Macaca mulatta: one gene and its partner. The protein of the gene in region 1 interacts with the protein of each later gene in a biochemical or structural test. Links are inferred from orthologs where the notes say so. Each region holds a gene or a part of one and is shown in the gene's direction. Other genes may lie near its edges. The genes, in order: TDRD3 and TOP3B.

What was found.
Region 2: the proteins of TDRD3 (region 1) and TOP3B form a complex in vitro, tested with the Homo sapiens proteins (2 studies listed by BioGRID and IntAct, with this or other methods). The link is inferred for Macaca mulatta from reciprocal best matches to the Homo sapiens genes TDRD3 and TOP3B.

What each region holds. Positions count from the first base shown.
Region 1 is NC_133422.1:39,861,383-39,868,934, forward strand, and holds the start of TDRD3 (tudor domain-containing protein 3), read left to right. Parts: upstream 1-3,512; 5' UTR 3,513-3,651; coding exon of another isoform or gene 3,652-3,692; intron 3,693-7,552. UniProt on the Homo sapiens protein: Scaffolding protein that specifically recognizes and binds dimethylarginine-containing proteins. Plays a role in the regulation of translation of target mRNAs by binding Arg/Gly-rich motifs (GAR) in dimethylarginine-containing proteins.
Region 2 is NC_133415.1:31,014,584-31,022,016, forward strand, and holds the start of TOP3B (DNA topoisomerase 3-beta-1), read left to right. Parts: upstream 1-3,288; 5' UTR 3,289-3,384; coding exon 3,385-3,454; intron 3,455-4,622; coding exon 4,623-4,754; intron 4,755-6,723; coding exon 6,724-6,830; intron 6,831-7,433. UniProt on the Homo sapiens protein: Releases the supercoiling and torsional tension of DNA introduced during the DNA replication and transcription by transiently cleaving and rejoining one strand of the DNA duplex.

The sequences.
Region 1 (7,552 bases):
ATAATTCCAATTTAAAATTTTTGATGTGAAATTAGTGTAATCCACACTTCTTTTTATTTTGGAAAATTTCAAACCTAGAGAAAAAAAAACATAAACATTTGGACCCTTCTCCAACTGATTCACCCATTTTTAATATTTTGCCATATTTACCTCTTTTCTCTCTTTTTTCTCTTTCTTTTTTTTTTTTTTTGGAGACGGAGTCCCGCTCTGTCTCCAGGCTGGAGTGCAGTGGCGCGATCTGGGCTCACTGCAACTTCCGCCTCCCAGGTTCAAGCAACTCTCCTGCCTCAGCCTCCTTTCTCTTTCTTACCTATATACATGTATCTATGTTTATATGTTTTATATATTTTACAAATGTTTTTCTCTGAATCATTTGCAAATAACTTGTAGATCCAATTCTTCTTCATCCATAAATGTTTTGACATAAAATTCTCAATTGAAGGACAATAACATTATCACACTTAAGAAAACCATAATTCCATTATACTATCCAATATCTAGTCCAGATTCAAATTTCTGCAACTGGCCACCAGTAATTATTTTTTCATTTATTTTTTAGATCCAGGATTGAATTTTGTTTTCATGCCTCTTGCATCTCTTAAATTTGAAATAATTCTTTTCTTTTCTTTTTTCTTTTTTTTTTTTTGAGATGGAGTCTCACTCTGTCGCCCAGGCTGGAGTGCAGTGGCGCAATCTCGGCTCACTGCCAGCTCCGCTTCCCGGGTTCACGCCATTCTCCTGCCTCAGCCTCCCCAGTAGCTGGGACTACAGGTGCCTGCCACCGCGCCCGACCTTATTTTTTTTTTTTTTAAATAATTATTTCTGGCCAGGTGCGGGGGCTCACGCCTGTAATCCCAGCACTTTGGGAGGCCGAGGCGGGTGGATCATGAGGTCGGATCACGAGGTCAGGAGATGGAGACCATCCTGGCTAACACGGTGAAACCCAGTCTCGGCGACAGAGCGAAACACCCCTCTCAATTAAAAAAAAAAAAAAAAAACCTTAAATTACATTTTAACAGTCTAGGCCAGAGGAGAATATGCCTCATTGTGGATTTATGTGCCTGCGTCTTCATGTTTAACTTGCTCAAATATCACCTATACGTCCTTTACATTTCTTCTTACATCTAGACCTTAGCATTACTGACATTCTGGGTCAGATCATTCTTTGGAGTTCAGGGATGTCCTGTGCTTTGTAGGATATTTAGCAGTATTCCTGCTGCATCCCATGAGATGCATAACAATACTCCTACCTCCTCAGATTGTGACAACCCAGACATTGCTAAATGGATTTGGGGATGTGGGGGTTAGTTTAGGATCCACTGTCCAGAAGCTTGGTTAAATTCAGGTTAAACAATTTTGGCAAGAATACTTCTTAAGTGATGTGTATGTCTAATTGCATTACATCAGTAGGCAGATTACATTAGAGTGTCCCATTATTAGTGATTCTAGCTTTGATCTCTTAAGGCAGGGTTTTTTTTTTTTTCAAGATAAGGTACATTTTCCCTTCTGTAATAAGTTATGGCTTGATACTTTGAGACCATGTGAAGATCCTGTACTCCTAGTCTTTTACCCTGTGACTTTTAGTATCTTCTGATAAATTTTCCTGAAACAATTGTGGTTGACTTGGAAAATTGTGATTTTTCTAATTCTATCATTTGTTCTGCATTTACTATCTTGTATTCCGCTGAAAGAAAAGGTTTTGTCCTCCTTCCCTTTTATTTTTCGTGGCACTCCGAAGAAATTCAATGTGTTTCATCAATTATTGTCACCATTTTTTGGATGCTCATTTGTCCCACATTTCTCCAGTAAAAATCCCATTCTTGAAGGGAATTTAGTATTTTGTGGAGTATTTTATTATTGTAAGGACCATGCAGTGGTAAATCCTTACTGAATCACATGGCATGTGAGAACAAATGGCTTTATAACCAGTGAGCAATTCTGATGATTGGGACAACTTATCATTTTCATAGTTAACAGGTTACACTAACTGCAAAATGTAAATAATTGGTAAGAGAAAATTCTAACCACCAATAAAAATTATTGGCAATTTATTTTTGAGTCATCTACTTACATTTAAAAAGGCATATCTATTCCTGGTTCCTGGATATGATGGCCGATGACTATAAATTGAAATATACCTGTAGTATACTTATCACCTAAACACTACATACTACGGCACATTGTAGCGAACAGCATGGAGCTACTTCTGATTTAAAATTATCTAAACGATATGCCTGGGAGCAAATCTCAATACATTCCATCTAAGGAAAGCATCGCGATTTTATATCTATGACTTTTGGGAAGACCAAACGGAATATCCCAGCTGAAATGAGAAAAATCTGTATTAAGGAATTTTAGCTCCACCCTGGGCAATTATCCCCTTCCTTCCGTAACTGTCAATTTCCTCCCCAATCCCAAGAGCGCCTCTGCCCAGTTCCGCAGTCTCTGCTCCAAGTCTCTTTTTGATGATGCCCTTAGAAGCAGCAGCGGCAAGCGGCGGAGCTGGGGTTAAGTTCGTAACAGTCTTCTCCCGACCTGGCAGCTGGGGACAGTACCCCTCAAAAGTCTCTTTGCCAGCCCTACTGGACGCCGCAGAAGTGAAAGACCAAGAGGGTGGAGCAATCTTTCAGGGAGCGCCTGTACCCTTCCTCCTGTTCCTCTCTGATTGGCCAGCGTGAGTCACGGACGCCCAATCGCACGGCAGCGTCCGCCGTGCCGCTCGGCGACGGCGCCGCGCATGCCCACTCAGGGACCCACCCCGCGCCCCAGCCCTCTGGAGCGCTGGCGAAGGGCACCGGCGGGGAGGCGGCTGTGGTTGCCGGACGCGGCAGTACAGAGCTAAGGTCTCAGGGCCGCGCTGGGACACGGATAGTCCCAGGGGGAGGGCAACAGGAAAAACAAGCACTGACACAACCGCCCCATTTCCCCATATTCCCTAAGAGCAGGTTTTCTTGGGCTGACCAGTCATTTTCACTGTGGTGTCCGACTTGGGCAACTCGATCTGCCCGTGGGGACTCAAGGCTGAGCTGCATTTTTTCTTTGCGTCCCGGCGGACCAAAAGGCGAGGGGAAGGGAACGAGTCTTTATAAAAAAGTAAACTTTCGTGTAGAATGGGCTGGGGACACCTCCGAGTTTGGCTTCCCGCAACGTGACCTTTTTAGCGCCATCCTGGACGCGCTCCCTCGCAGCCAACCCGTCAGTCTCCTCAGGCCTTATCCTGCCCTCTCTGAGGTGGCCGCCTGTCGGCGCTGCAAACGCCACACTTTTGCTCTACGAAGAACCTCCTCACGACTTTCCAAGGTGTGCAACTCAGAAGAGTGCCCCCCAAAACAAGTAAAAACCTTCGGGGAAGAGGCAAAGTCCCTGAGCTATCCTGACCCTAGCCGCCGGCCCGTGTTTGGTGGATCAGGTCCTGGAGCTCGGCAGCCTGGAAGCCCCACACCAGGCCGGCCCCTACGGCCGCTCAGAAAACGCGGCGAGCGGAACCCGCACGCGGAAGCGCCGGCCGCACTGAGCATGCCCAGTTGCAGAGCCGACCAGAGGAGTTTTTTCTTTTCTTTCTTTTTTTTTTTTGGGGGGGGGGTCTCAAGTAGGAGGCCTCCCCACCACCCCCACCCCAACCCCCCACCACCCCCGGCTTAAGCAGCTACCATGGCCCAGGTGGCCAACGCGGCGTTGTCCCAGGCGGGTTGGTAAGTGGCGAGTCCCGCCGGCTGCCGGGCCGCTGGCGCGGGCCGGGGCCCCGAGGAGCTTGGGTTGGGGGCGGCGGGGTACGTGTCGGGGTAGGCGGAGGCTGCTGTCCGCCCCCGGCCTCTCCCCGGGCCCTCCGGGCCGGCTCCGCCCCCGGCGCCACGCGAGCCCAGCGAGTCCCCCTGTGTCCCCTCGAGGCGGCGGCGGCAGCGGCCTGGGCCTCGGGCGGCGGGCGGCGGGCCTGGGGAGAGGCCGGGGGCCGCGAGCCGGGCGGGTGGCGGCCCAGACCCCGGCCGAGTGGAGCGCCGGAGAGGACCTGCAGCGCCTTCGCGCTGCCGCTCCGGGGAGGGGGTGTTTCTGCGGCGGGACAAGGGGAGGCGAAGGCTGGGAACGAAGTGCGGAGCAGAGGGACCAACGCGGCGGAGCCCGCGGGCCCATAGGAAGTTGAGGGCAGAGCGGCACACAGCCTGCGCTGCGGTCGGAGCCGCCTCTTCTTGCCCCTTATTTCAAAGTATAGTGTGGACCAGTGTGAAGCTGCCCTCCGCGTCACACACACAACTTCTGGAGCTAAGAATGACCGCATTGTCAACTCGTGGGGGGTGCTCGGTAGAACTTTTCTTGAAAGGATGGTGTTCTGAATTTAAGAGGCCTTTCGTGTCAAGATTTTCAGGATTTGAAAACAATACAGAATTATGTGAAGTTAGGCAGTTTCTGGAATTGCGGCCATTACGGTTGTAATCATCCGGTTTAATTCAGTAACGCTTTTCCCAGACTTGCACAGGCACATTCTGGGATGAAGGGTAGGAACGGGGATGAAAAAGATTTGCCTTGGCTCTCTGCAATTACTGCTTTGGAAGAAAGAGTGAGGCATTAAAAGACCAAACAAAACCAGGGGGAATAGTGGTAAACCGTATGTACAGAGTAACAGATGAGTGCACTGTGGAATGGGAGGGAGAGTTAATTTCCTGAAGTGGACTTGGGAAGATGGTAAGGAAAAGGCTTTCTAGCACAGAGCTGCTAGAGACTGGGAAGCGCTTATTGTTTTGCAGAACCTACACAAGATCTGTATGGTTCGTGAAAGATGTGGATTTGATTTTGTGAATAAAGTTTTTGATCAGTGGAGGGATATAATCACAACTGTGTTTTGAAGAAGCCCTTCCTGGTTTTAAAGGCCCTTGTGTTGTTAAACACCCCATTTTACAGGTGAGGAGACTGAGGCAAAGAGCTGTTAAGTAACTTTCCCGAAGTGACATAGCTAGAAAGTGGTGGAGTTGAATGTTGAGCACAGAGGGCCTGGCTCTGGTCCTGGTTCCTTTAACTCTTATGCGTTATTGTTCCTATAGTTTTTTCACAGAACAGCATTGGCGTAAAAGATTGTAGAGTTAAAAACTCACTGGCTTCAGTTTTGTTTTTGTTAAATAGGAATCTCTTCTTTTAGTTTTTTTTACCCACAGGGGTGTCCTGAATTATCTTGGGTCGCTCTTTCATTTGCCTTTCTCCCCATTTATCATTAGATTGAGCGTTGATCCTTCACACTAGTAATATTTTCATTTACAAAGTCAGTATTTTACTACTTTCCAACATGACCCCGCCTCCTCTGGAAAGATTAGTCTCATTTTTTAGGTCCCGAACACATGCTGACTTTGTTTTCTGTGGCCTCTTATGCTCTTCCAGGGCAGGGAACTGAGTCTTATTTTTCTCCTTATCTGGATTGTCAAGAAGTGCACCAGATTGTAGGTTCTTTGTAAAGTCTAATACAGTTGACCTTGGAATGCCCCTGCCAGTCAGAATTCTCCGGACAGGGCCTCTGCAGAAGCTTAGGCAGAGTCCCACCCTGCTTTGTGATATTGTTGTAAATCTTCAGCAATGTTATATTGTAGCATTTGCTACTTTGTATTGCAACTTATCTGTTTATGTTTCTCCCACCTGTCTGTGCTGCTTCTGTGTGGCAGTAACTCATAAAGGCAGTAGTAATCTGTGGGGCTAATAAGACTATCTTTCTAGGAATTGTGAGTTTCATGTAATTCCTGCTAGGTCTTGAACAGACTAGGCATGAGGATCTCCTAGGCTTTCAGGTGGCTTCGACGAAGTCTTTAATTAGGGACTTACTATGTTAAAATTTAGAATCACAAAGGTTTAAAGGCAGAAAAGAGCACTGGAAGGAAAATTTCTGACTGAAGGGCTTTCACTAGCTCATTTTAGTTCTTACATCCTGAGTTTGCTCTTATACTTGGGGTTCTCTGTTACTGTCACTGACAAACCATTTTTCTTCGTATTCAAATGTATGTGCGTAGTTACTTGTAGAAGCTAAAAAGAAACAGATGCTAAAACATGGAAACACTATTGTTAAATCTGTTCTACAGGCTTTACCTAAAATAGCAGATTAGGGAAATATTTAGTGCTGAAAAGTTTACAATTCTGAAAATATGATCTTCAGGGGGGTACAGAAGATCTATGTAGACCAATCTGTTCAAGTTTCCATTATTTTTAAGTGCAATTTTTTTCCTTCTTAAGGTTTTAATCTTCATTAGAACCGCTGTAAAAATCAATATTTTAAAATATAGCTTCAAAAGTAGCTACCTGGCAGACTTAAAATAATTTTTTTTCTTCAATGGCCAGTAGCACACAAACGATTTGCTGATTTGAACTTAAATGTTTCAGGGTTTTCTACAGTATAGTGATTATGTTTAAATAATGCACTAAATGGTACCTTGTAAAGCTTAATTATATGAGTGGAATAACTTCATGGGGAAAAGAAATCTGACTCTGAATTTATCTAGATAACAGTATTACTCACTCTGCATTTTTGTTTTCTCTCTTCAGAGATTCATTCTCCTTTGGGATGATATCCCTGATCACTCTGAGTGGAAATACAAAATTCTACTTGTGGGAGAAAGATTTAAAAGGTTGATCTCTGGACATTTTGAATTTTTCTCTTCCATCTTCATCCTTTGTTTGTTTGTTTTTAACAGAAACATGTCACGGGGTACCTAATCAGTTGTGTTTTTGTTTTTGAAAAGGTATCTTCTGGCTGGGCATGGTGGTGGCTCATGCCTGTAATCCCAGCACTTTGGGAGGCTAAGGCGGGTGGGCAGGAGTTGGAGACCTGCCTGGCAAAAATGGTGAAACCCCATTTCTACTAAAAATACAAAAAAATTAGCCAGGCGTGGTGGCAGTCTCCTGTAATCCCAGCTACTTGGTGAGGCTGAGGCATGAGAATCGCTTGAACCCAGGAGGCGGAAGTTGCAGTGAGTCGAGATTGCACCGTTGCACTCCAGCCTGGGCAACAGAGCAAGACTCTGTCTCAAAAAAAAAAAAAAAAAAAAAAGAGTATCTTCCGTGGAATCAGTGTTGCATAGCTTTAACTCTCTCTTTGTACATATGAGAAAACTGAAGCACAGAGTTTTCAATAATTTGCTCAGTTATAAATGGCAGAACCAAGAATAGAGCCCAGATGTCTAGAGTAAAGATTCAGTACTCATTTCCACCAAAAATTAACAGAAGTGACCACATCTAATTTAAATTATTGATCAAAAGTGACACATTTTAAAATTGAAAATTGGGTTGAAGCATTTTGTGGTGTGTAAATTTACTTTCCTAGTCGAGGAAAGATAAAGGGCCTATTCTGAGGGGTGATCCTGTTAGAATCAAATAAATCTTTGCCTTGCAGTGAATCAACTAATTGCGTACTAGGCTTATCTGAAAATCTGGTACATTCTGTATTTTTTGAGGTTTAAGAATACAGTTGGCCCTCCATATCTGTGGGTTCTGCATCCTTGGATTCAACCAGTCATAAAATATTTGGAAAAATAAAAAAAAATACAACAACAAAAATCATATGACTAAAAAATAAAATACAACT
Region 2 (7,433 bases), on another chromosome or scaffold:
TGGTGATCCTCCCGCCTTGGCCTCACAAAGTGCTGGCATTACAGGCGTGAGCCACCACGCCCGGCCAGAGAATGCCATGCTTTTATTTAACCACCTCCCTGTTGACAGACATCAGCTTGTTTCTAATCTTTTATCATGATTGATAATGCTGCAGAGAACTCCCCAGTGATGTGGTTCATCACAGGCACCACCATGCCCAGCCTGAGTCTACTCCAGCACTGCCCTGTCCTGCTTCCTGGGGACTCAGAGTCCACATGGACAGTTTTGCCAGGGCCCACCACTGACTCCTGTGACTCTCACCGGGTGACTTCACTCTCCACCTGTCTCACAGCCCTTGCCCTCCCTGGGTCAGCATGCCAACCTCGGGCCCCTCTGTAATTCCTGTCTCTTTCCGGTGGCTTTCGGGACCCTACCCCTCCTGACTCGCCCTGCTAGCTCCTCATCTCCCGACCCCCAGCCTAGGCTTCTTCCACATTGCTGCCACCTCCTCCAGGCCACCCAGGCTGTCCAATGGGCAGGTCACATTTAACACACCTGAAGTCTCACTTCAGACTGCCAGTCCCTTCCTGTCATGCCTAAGCCAAAGCCATGGGTTGTCCCTTTTGCTTTTTTGTAAAGAGGTCTCACTGTGTTAACCAGGCTCTTCTCAAACTCCTGGCCTCAAGTGGTCCTCTTGCCTTGGCCTCCCAAAGCACTAGGATTACAGATGTGAGCCCATGGCAGGTGCGAGCCCATGCCCAGCCCCTGCCTCAGATCATTCTTGACTCACCTTCCCCTCCCTCTCCCATGTCCCTCCCATCTCCTCCCCAAGGACCTCACCTTCCCTGCTCCTGCCTGGACTCTTCTCCTAGGTGTCACCCAGCCCTGCCCTGTCCCTCCCCTGCTCCCATACTACAGCACGCGTTCTGGGAGGGCAGGACCTGGTGTTGCTTTGTGCTGTGTTCCCTGCATCCTGGACTAGGCCAAGCATGTAGTAGGTGCTCAATAAATAACTGGACTATTACGTTCATTCCAAGGAGTGGAATTGCTGGGATGTGCACTTGTACTTTGAGAGGGATCGCTGAATTGCTACACATAGAGGTTGTTCCCATTTAACTTCCCCACACCCTCGTCTGCTGTGTGTGCAACGACTTTGAGTCTCTCCCTATATGATAAGCACAAGCTCATTATAGTTCTGAGTTTCTTCCGTGAGTGTTGTTGGACATGATGTGATACCACAAAGGTATTTACGTGGTTGTTGTTTTGTTTTGTTTTTTTTGAGATGGAGTCTCACTGTACTGCACAGGCTGGAGTGCAATGGCATGATCTCGGCTCACTGCAACCTCCGCTTCCTGAGTTCAAGCAATTCTCATGCCTCAGCCTCTCAAGTAGCTGGGATTACAGGCACCCAGCACCACACCTGGCTAATTTTTGTATTTTTATTAGAGACGGGGTTTTGCCATGTTGGCCAGGCTGGTTTGAAATTCCTGACTTCAAGTAATCCGCCCGCCTCGGCCTCCCAAAGTGCCGGGATTACAGGAGTGAGCCACCGTGCCCATCTAGGTGGTGGTTTTTCTTCATGCGGAGATTATTTTATTTTGCTTTTATTTTTTTTGAGACAGGGTCTTGCTGTCACCTAGGCTGCAGTGAAGTGGCTGTTCTATCTGCAGGTGTAGTCATGGCACACAACAGCCTTGAACTCCTGGCCTCAAGCAAGCGATCCTCTTGCCTCAGCCTCCTGAGTGGCTGACACTATAGGCATGTGCTACCACACCCGGCTCATGAGATTTATTTTAAAAGCACATGTTTTTCCTAATATTTTTCTGGTTTCATTGTTTCTACTCAAACCTTTGCTAGATCTGGAATCGGTTTTAGTGGGAGTTAGGAAACAGGAGTCTAACTTTATTTTTTTTCCCAGCAGGTTTCCCAGTTGTCTCAATACAAGTCTTTTTTTCTTTTTTAAATACAATGCTATGTTTTTTGTTTTTTGTTTTTTGTTTTTTGTTTTTTTTTGAGACGGAGTCTCGCTCTGTCGCCCAGGCTGGAGTGCAGTGGCCAGATCTCAGCTCACTGCAAGCTCCGCCTCCCGGGTTCCCGCCATTCTCCTGCCTCAGCCTCCCGAGTAGCTGGGACCACAGGCGCCGCCACCTCGCCCGGCTAATTTTTTGTGTTTTTAGTAGAGACGGGGTTTCGCCTTGTTAGCCAGGATGGTCTCGATCTCCTGACCTTGTGATCCGCCCGTCTCGGCCTCCCAAAGTGCTGGGATTACAGGCTTGAGCCACCGCGCCCGGCCTACAATGCTATGTTTATAAACATCAGTGCTACATTTATAATGATTGAAAAAACAAAAAGGGTTCATGTGGTTTTCTTTTACTTGGCTAGCAAGTATTGAATGTCATGTGTCAGGCACAGAAAGCTGTTGCAAAGACCAACAGTGATTCAGAACAAAGTCCATCATGTCCTATTTCGGGGGTGAGGTAGTCGCTGATGATGGCATAATGTGAGTGGGTTGGAATGGTGACCTAGCCCAAGAACCGTGAGCACAGGAGGGCTGACTTATCCTGCCGGTGGTGTTGGGAGACTTGAGCTGGGCCTGTGGGCCGTCCAGCTGCACCCTCCAGGCCTGGTGGAGCTTTCTCTCAGGCAGGGGAGCGCAGGCACAGAGGCTTCAAGTGAGTGTTTGCTTAAATGATGATATTTGATTTAATTTGGCCAGAGCATGGCCTGCAAAGCAAAAGGTGGAGTGGAATAGGTGGGAGATAGATGTGACAGAGCCCTGATATCTGCTTGGTGCTGGACCGACTAGCCAGAGGGTCTCAGGCCCATCATGGATCAGAAGGACCTGGGGAGCCCAGCCTGGACATCTGCATTTTGTAAAGTGTCCTGGGGCATCCAAGTGCTTAGCTGAGGGGGTGGTGCTGCTCTCGGCCATGATGGTTCCTCTCTCCAGGTGAGTCCACCTGTAGGTGGAAGAGCCAGTCCAGAGAGGAGGGCCAGGCATCCACCCGGCCTGACCCATCACTGGAGATCCCCAGGTCCCGGCATCTTCCTAGCATGGATTTAGGAATCAAATGGACCTAAGGAGCCAGATTCCCAGGATTATCTCAGCCACTTCAGTTGACCTGGTAGTTTTGTTTTTGTTTTTGTTTTTTTAATCTCAGATGTCTTCAGGTGTCCCTAATTCCCTAATTTTTCTTCTTCTTGCCTCAGGTTGGTCTTGTTTTTTCTTTGTTAAAGTGAGTTTCCTTGTAGTGGTATAGGTTCTTTTGACAGCATTGCTATCCTGAGTGTCTTTTCTTCTCTTTAGGGGTCAGCATTGATAATAGTGCTGTGCTGCAGAAGAGTGGAGTGTAAACTTTTTCACTGCCACTGCCCCGAAACTGGAGCGTAAAGGGCTGAGACAAGATGAAGACTGTGCTCATGGTTGCCGAAAAGCCGTCCTTGGCACAGTCAATTGCCAAAATCCTCTCTAGAGGTAGGAGAGACCAGCCCTGCGCATGCTTTCTTGCTTTGGTCTGTAAGCACGGCCGTTTATGTGTTACAGGACATTTCTTTTTCCTAATGTGACTCTACCCTGGCTGGGGTAGATTGGTTCGGTCAGCAGGTGGTAATGAAGCATCTCAGAATGTCACAGTGGGGTGCATTTGCTTCCATTCCTGGCAGTGTGCCAAAGCTGGGGTTCCCAGAAGGCACAAGGCACAGCTTACAATGAAGTGGAAGGACAGTCATTGTCCACATGCCGGGCCTGGCAGGGCTGTTAGGTACAGGTAGCAGAAACCAGCCCTGGAAGGAAGGAGACACAGCCAGGACCACACCCCAGTTGAGGTCTGATGAGGCTATGCCCCAGGCATCGTCATCCCTGGATACTCCCACTGTCCTGTGGACCTCACGTCACTCCAGAGTAGCCAATGGACTGAGCTGTGGCCACAGACACTACTGAGACACCAGGGAACTGGAGAGGGAATGTCTGCCACTCACCCCCAACTCTGGCCACTGGGGTGGTTGGTAGGGTGCTGTTTCCCCCCATCTTTGAATTCCCTCCAAATAGGAAGAGTTTGGATGCTGGGTACCCAGAAATGACAGGCACCTACCTGACCTCCCCTGGCTCCAGCAGCTGAGGGGGGAAGAGACCCTCGTTCAGCTGAGAAGGCATGGTCCGCAGAGGACGGGAGGCCCCAAAAGTGGTGCCCGGTGCCCAGAACCTGAGAAAGTACGGCTGAGTGTGGTCAGTGGAGAGGGTGAGAATTCAATAATTAGAAGGTCCCTGGTAACCTAGAGTAGATCTAGAGTCCCATTTTAGTAAATGATGAATAACGTTTCAATGAAGTGAGGCAAAAATGGAATTGAAGAGTGAAAACATAAATACAGAGGAAGATCCCACCTCTGCCTGCCTGCCCCTGGCTCCTGGCAGCCTGGGGCTCTGCATCAAGAGTGCTCTGTGCTAGGTTGTTGGCAGATGCTGTTTTCCCTGAGTGCCGTCCCATCTCTTAGTGCCCAATTACCCTCAGCAGTCTGCGGAATGCTGTCACTCACCACTCTGAGGAAGGACGCTGGCCCTCTGGGAGGTGGCATCCAGGCCGGGGTCTCCACAGTGTCTTCAGCTCAGTGAAGCAGCCAGTCACTTTGTGCTTCCTCATCCCCAGGGAGCCTGTCCTCACATAAAGGGCTGAACGGGGCCTGTTCAGTCCACGAGTACACTGGGACCTTTGCTGGCCAGCCAGTGCGCTTCAAGATGACGTCTGTCTGTGGTCACGTGATGACCCTGGATTTCCTGGGTAAGCCCCTCTACCCTCCATCCTACAGAAGGGAGTTCTGCGTGGCGCTGGCCGGGGTCCAGTTGAAGCCAGGAGATTCCTCTAGGCAGGGAAGTTTGTCCCAACTCCATGAGTCATCAGGCCAGCAGATCATGGAGTGGTGATGAGAGGGTTCCTGGGTGCGGTGCCCAGAACCCAGGCTCTGGAGCTCAGCCCTGGGTCCCCATCATAGCAGCACCCCCTAGTCACTGCATTCCCTGTGCACCGTCCTATGTAGACAAAGTGGCGGCACCTATCTTAGGAAGGGCTTGACCTGTGCAGGCATTTGAGAGAAGCCTGCTGCTGTTGCCGAGTTGACCATCGTCTGTCGGTCATTTGGTGGCTGTCATTGTCATTCCTATATTGTTACTGTTATCAATTACTTTGGAAGTGCTGGTGTTAGTGACCTGCTGGGTATAGGTGTGGGGCCGTGTGGTTGGCAAGAGTCTGATCCAGGCTCTTCCCCCTGCTCTGCCAGCTCACTGGCTGGAGACGAGGGCACTGACAGCCTCTGTGAGTTTACACTTCTCGTAGTGAAATGGGTCTCACAGCAATGCCATCTGCTTCCCAAGACTGTAAGGATTCTGTGTGACAGTGAGGGCAGAGCACTTGGCACTTGGCAGAGCACACGGCAAAGCCTCAGCCCTTGTTCTTGCTGCTCATTGATGACAGTGATGACAATGATGGTGACTGGGTTGTGTGGCTGAGCATTTGGACCCCAAGTTTTATCTCCAGCTGACAGGTGGGGAGCTGGGATTTGAATTTGGCTCTGTCTGACCCCATTCTCCCAGGATGCAAGAAATGGGGCCTAGGAGGATCGCCTGAGCCCAGGAGTTCAAGACCAGTCTGGACAACATAGTGAGACCCCTGTCTCTACAAAAAAAAAAAAATCTTTTTAAATCAGCCGACATGGTGGTGCGCACCTGTAGTCTTGGGAGGCTGAAGTGGGAAGATGGATTGAGGCTGGGAGGTCGAGACTGCAGTTAGCCATGATCGTATCACTGTACTTCATCCTGGATGACAGAGCGAGACCCCTGTCTCAGAAAAAAAAAGAAATGGGCCTAAAAGAAAGCCAGACAGGCCGGGCGCGGTGGCTCAAGCCTGTAATCCCAGCACTTTGGGAGGCCGAGATGGGCGGATCACGAGGTCAGGAGATCGAGACCATCCTGGCTAACACGGTGAAACCCCGTCTCTACTAAAAAATACAAAAAACTAGCCGGGCGCAGTGGCGGGCGCCTGTAGTCCCAACTACTCGGGAGGCTGAGGCAGGAGAATGGCGTGAACCCGGGAGGCGGAGCTTGCAGTGAGCTGAGATCCGGCCACTGCACTCCAGCCTGGGCGGCAGAGCGAGACTCCGTCTCAAAAAAAAAAAAAAAAAGAAAAAAAAAAGAAAGCCAGACAGCTGAGCATGCAAGAACTGGGCCTCTGTAGATGAGTAGGTGAATGTGCTGGGCATGAGGCTCAAAAAGATGGGTCCTTTAACAGGAATGACTGCGCACATGTGTGCCCCCACAGAGTGCTGGGTGGAAGGATGGAGTTCCAGAAACTCAGGTTGGAAGTGTCAATGAAGACACCAGTGGTGGGGTCCAGTGCTCAGGCAAAGAAAGCCAGCCCAGGAATGATGCTCCCAGCCACAGGGAAAGTCCCGGAAGTGAGGCCAGAGTGGCAGCCCCCGGAGAGCTTGCTTGGCTCCTGTGGTTGGCCGGAGTGTGGTGTCAGCTCAGCAGCCGAGCAGAAAGGAGGCTGGAGGGAAGGGGGTTACCAAAGGCCTGAACCCACATCCTGGCTCTGCCTCTGATCATCATGATGACCCTGGGCAAATTGTTCTCCAAGCTTTCCCCTCCTCATTTGTGGGATGAAACCAACATCATCCTGGGGTTATGATGGTCTCGGAGGTTGAGCCCCTGTGAACTGTGAGGTGTGACTCAATGTCACTGTGACTGGTTTGTAGGAAAATACAACAAATGGGACAAAGTGGACCCCGCAGAACTGTTCAGCCAAGCTCCCACGGAGAAGAAGGAAGCTAACCCCAAGCTGAACATGGTGAAGTTCCTGCAGGTGCGTGGGGCTGGCCTGGGCATGAGCACACCCGGGCTCCCCACCCTCCACAGCTGTCCTTGCCCACCCTTGCGTGAGTCCTAATCCCCCTTGGACAGGGGGGCCTTTGCTAGCTCTTTCTGTGAGTGCCCCCTGCTGGCCCATGAGGCACCTGCAGGCACCCCCAACACACAAGGCAGTTGCCAGTGCCAACCCTCAGTCCTGGAGAGCAGGCCTTCTGCTTTTAAAATAGCTTGTTTGGGCCGGGCGCAGTGGCTCACGCCTGTAATCCCAGCACTTTGGGAGGCCGAGGTGGGCAGATCACCTGAGGTCAGGAGTTCAAGACCAGCCTGGCTTACACGGTGAAACCCCATCTCCACTAAAAATACAAAAAATTAGCCAGGTGTGGTGGCGGGCGCCTGTAGTCCCAGCTACTGGTGAGGCTGAGGCAGGAGAATGGCATGACCCAGGGAGGCGGAGCTTGCAGTGAACCGAGATCGCGCCACTGTGCTCCAGCCTGAGCGACAGAGCGAGACTCCGTCTCAAAAAAAAAAAAAAAAAAGCTTGTTTGGCTGGGGGTTTTTTCCCCTTAATTTTAAAACAAATGCATACAGATTATGGAAA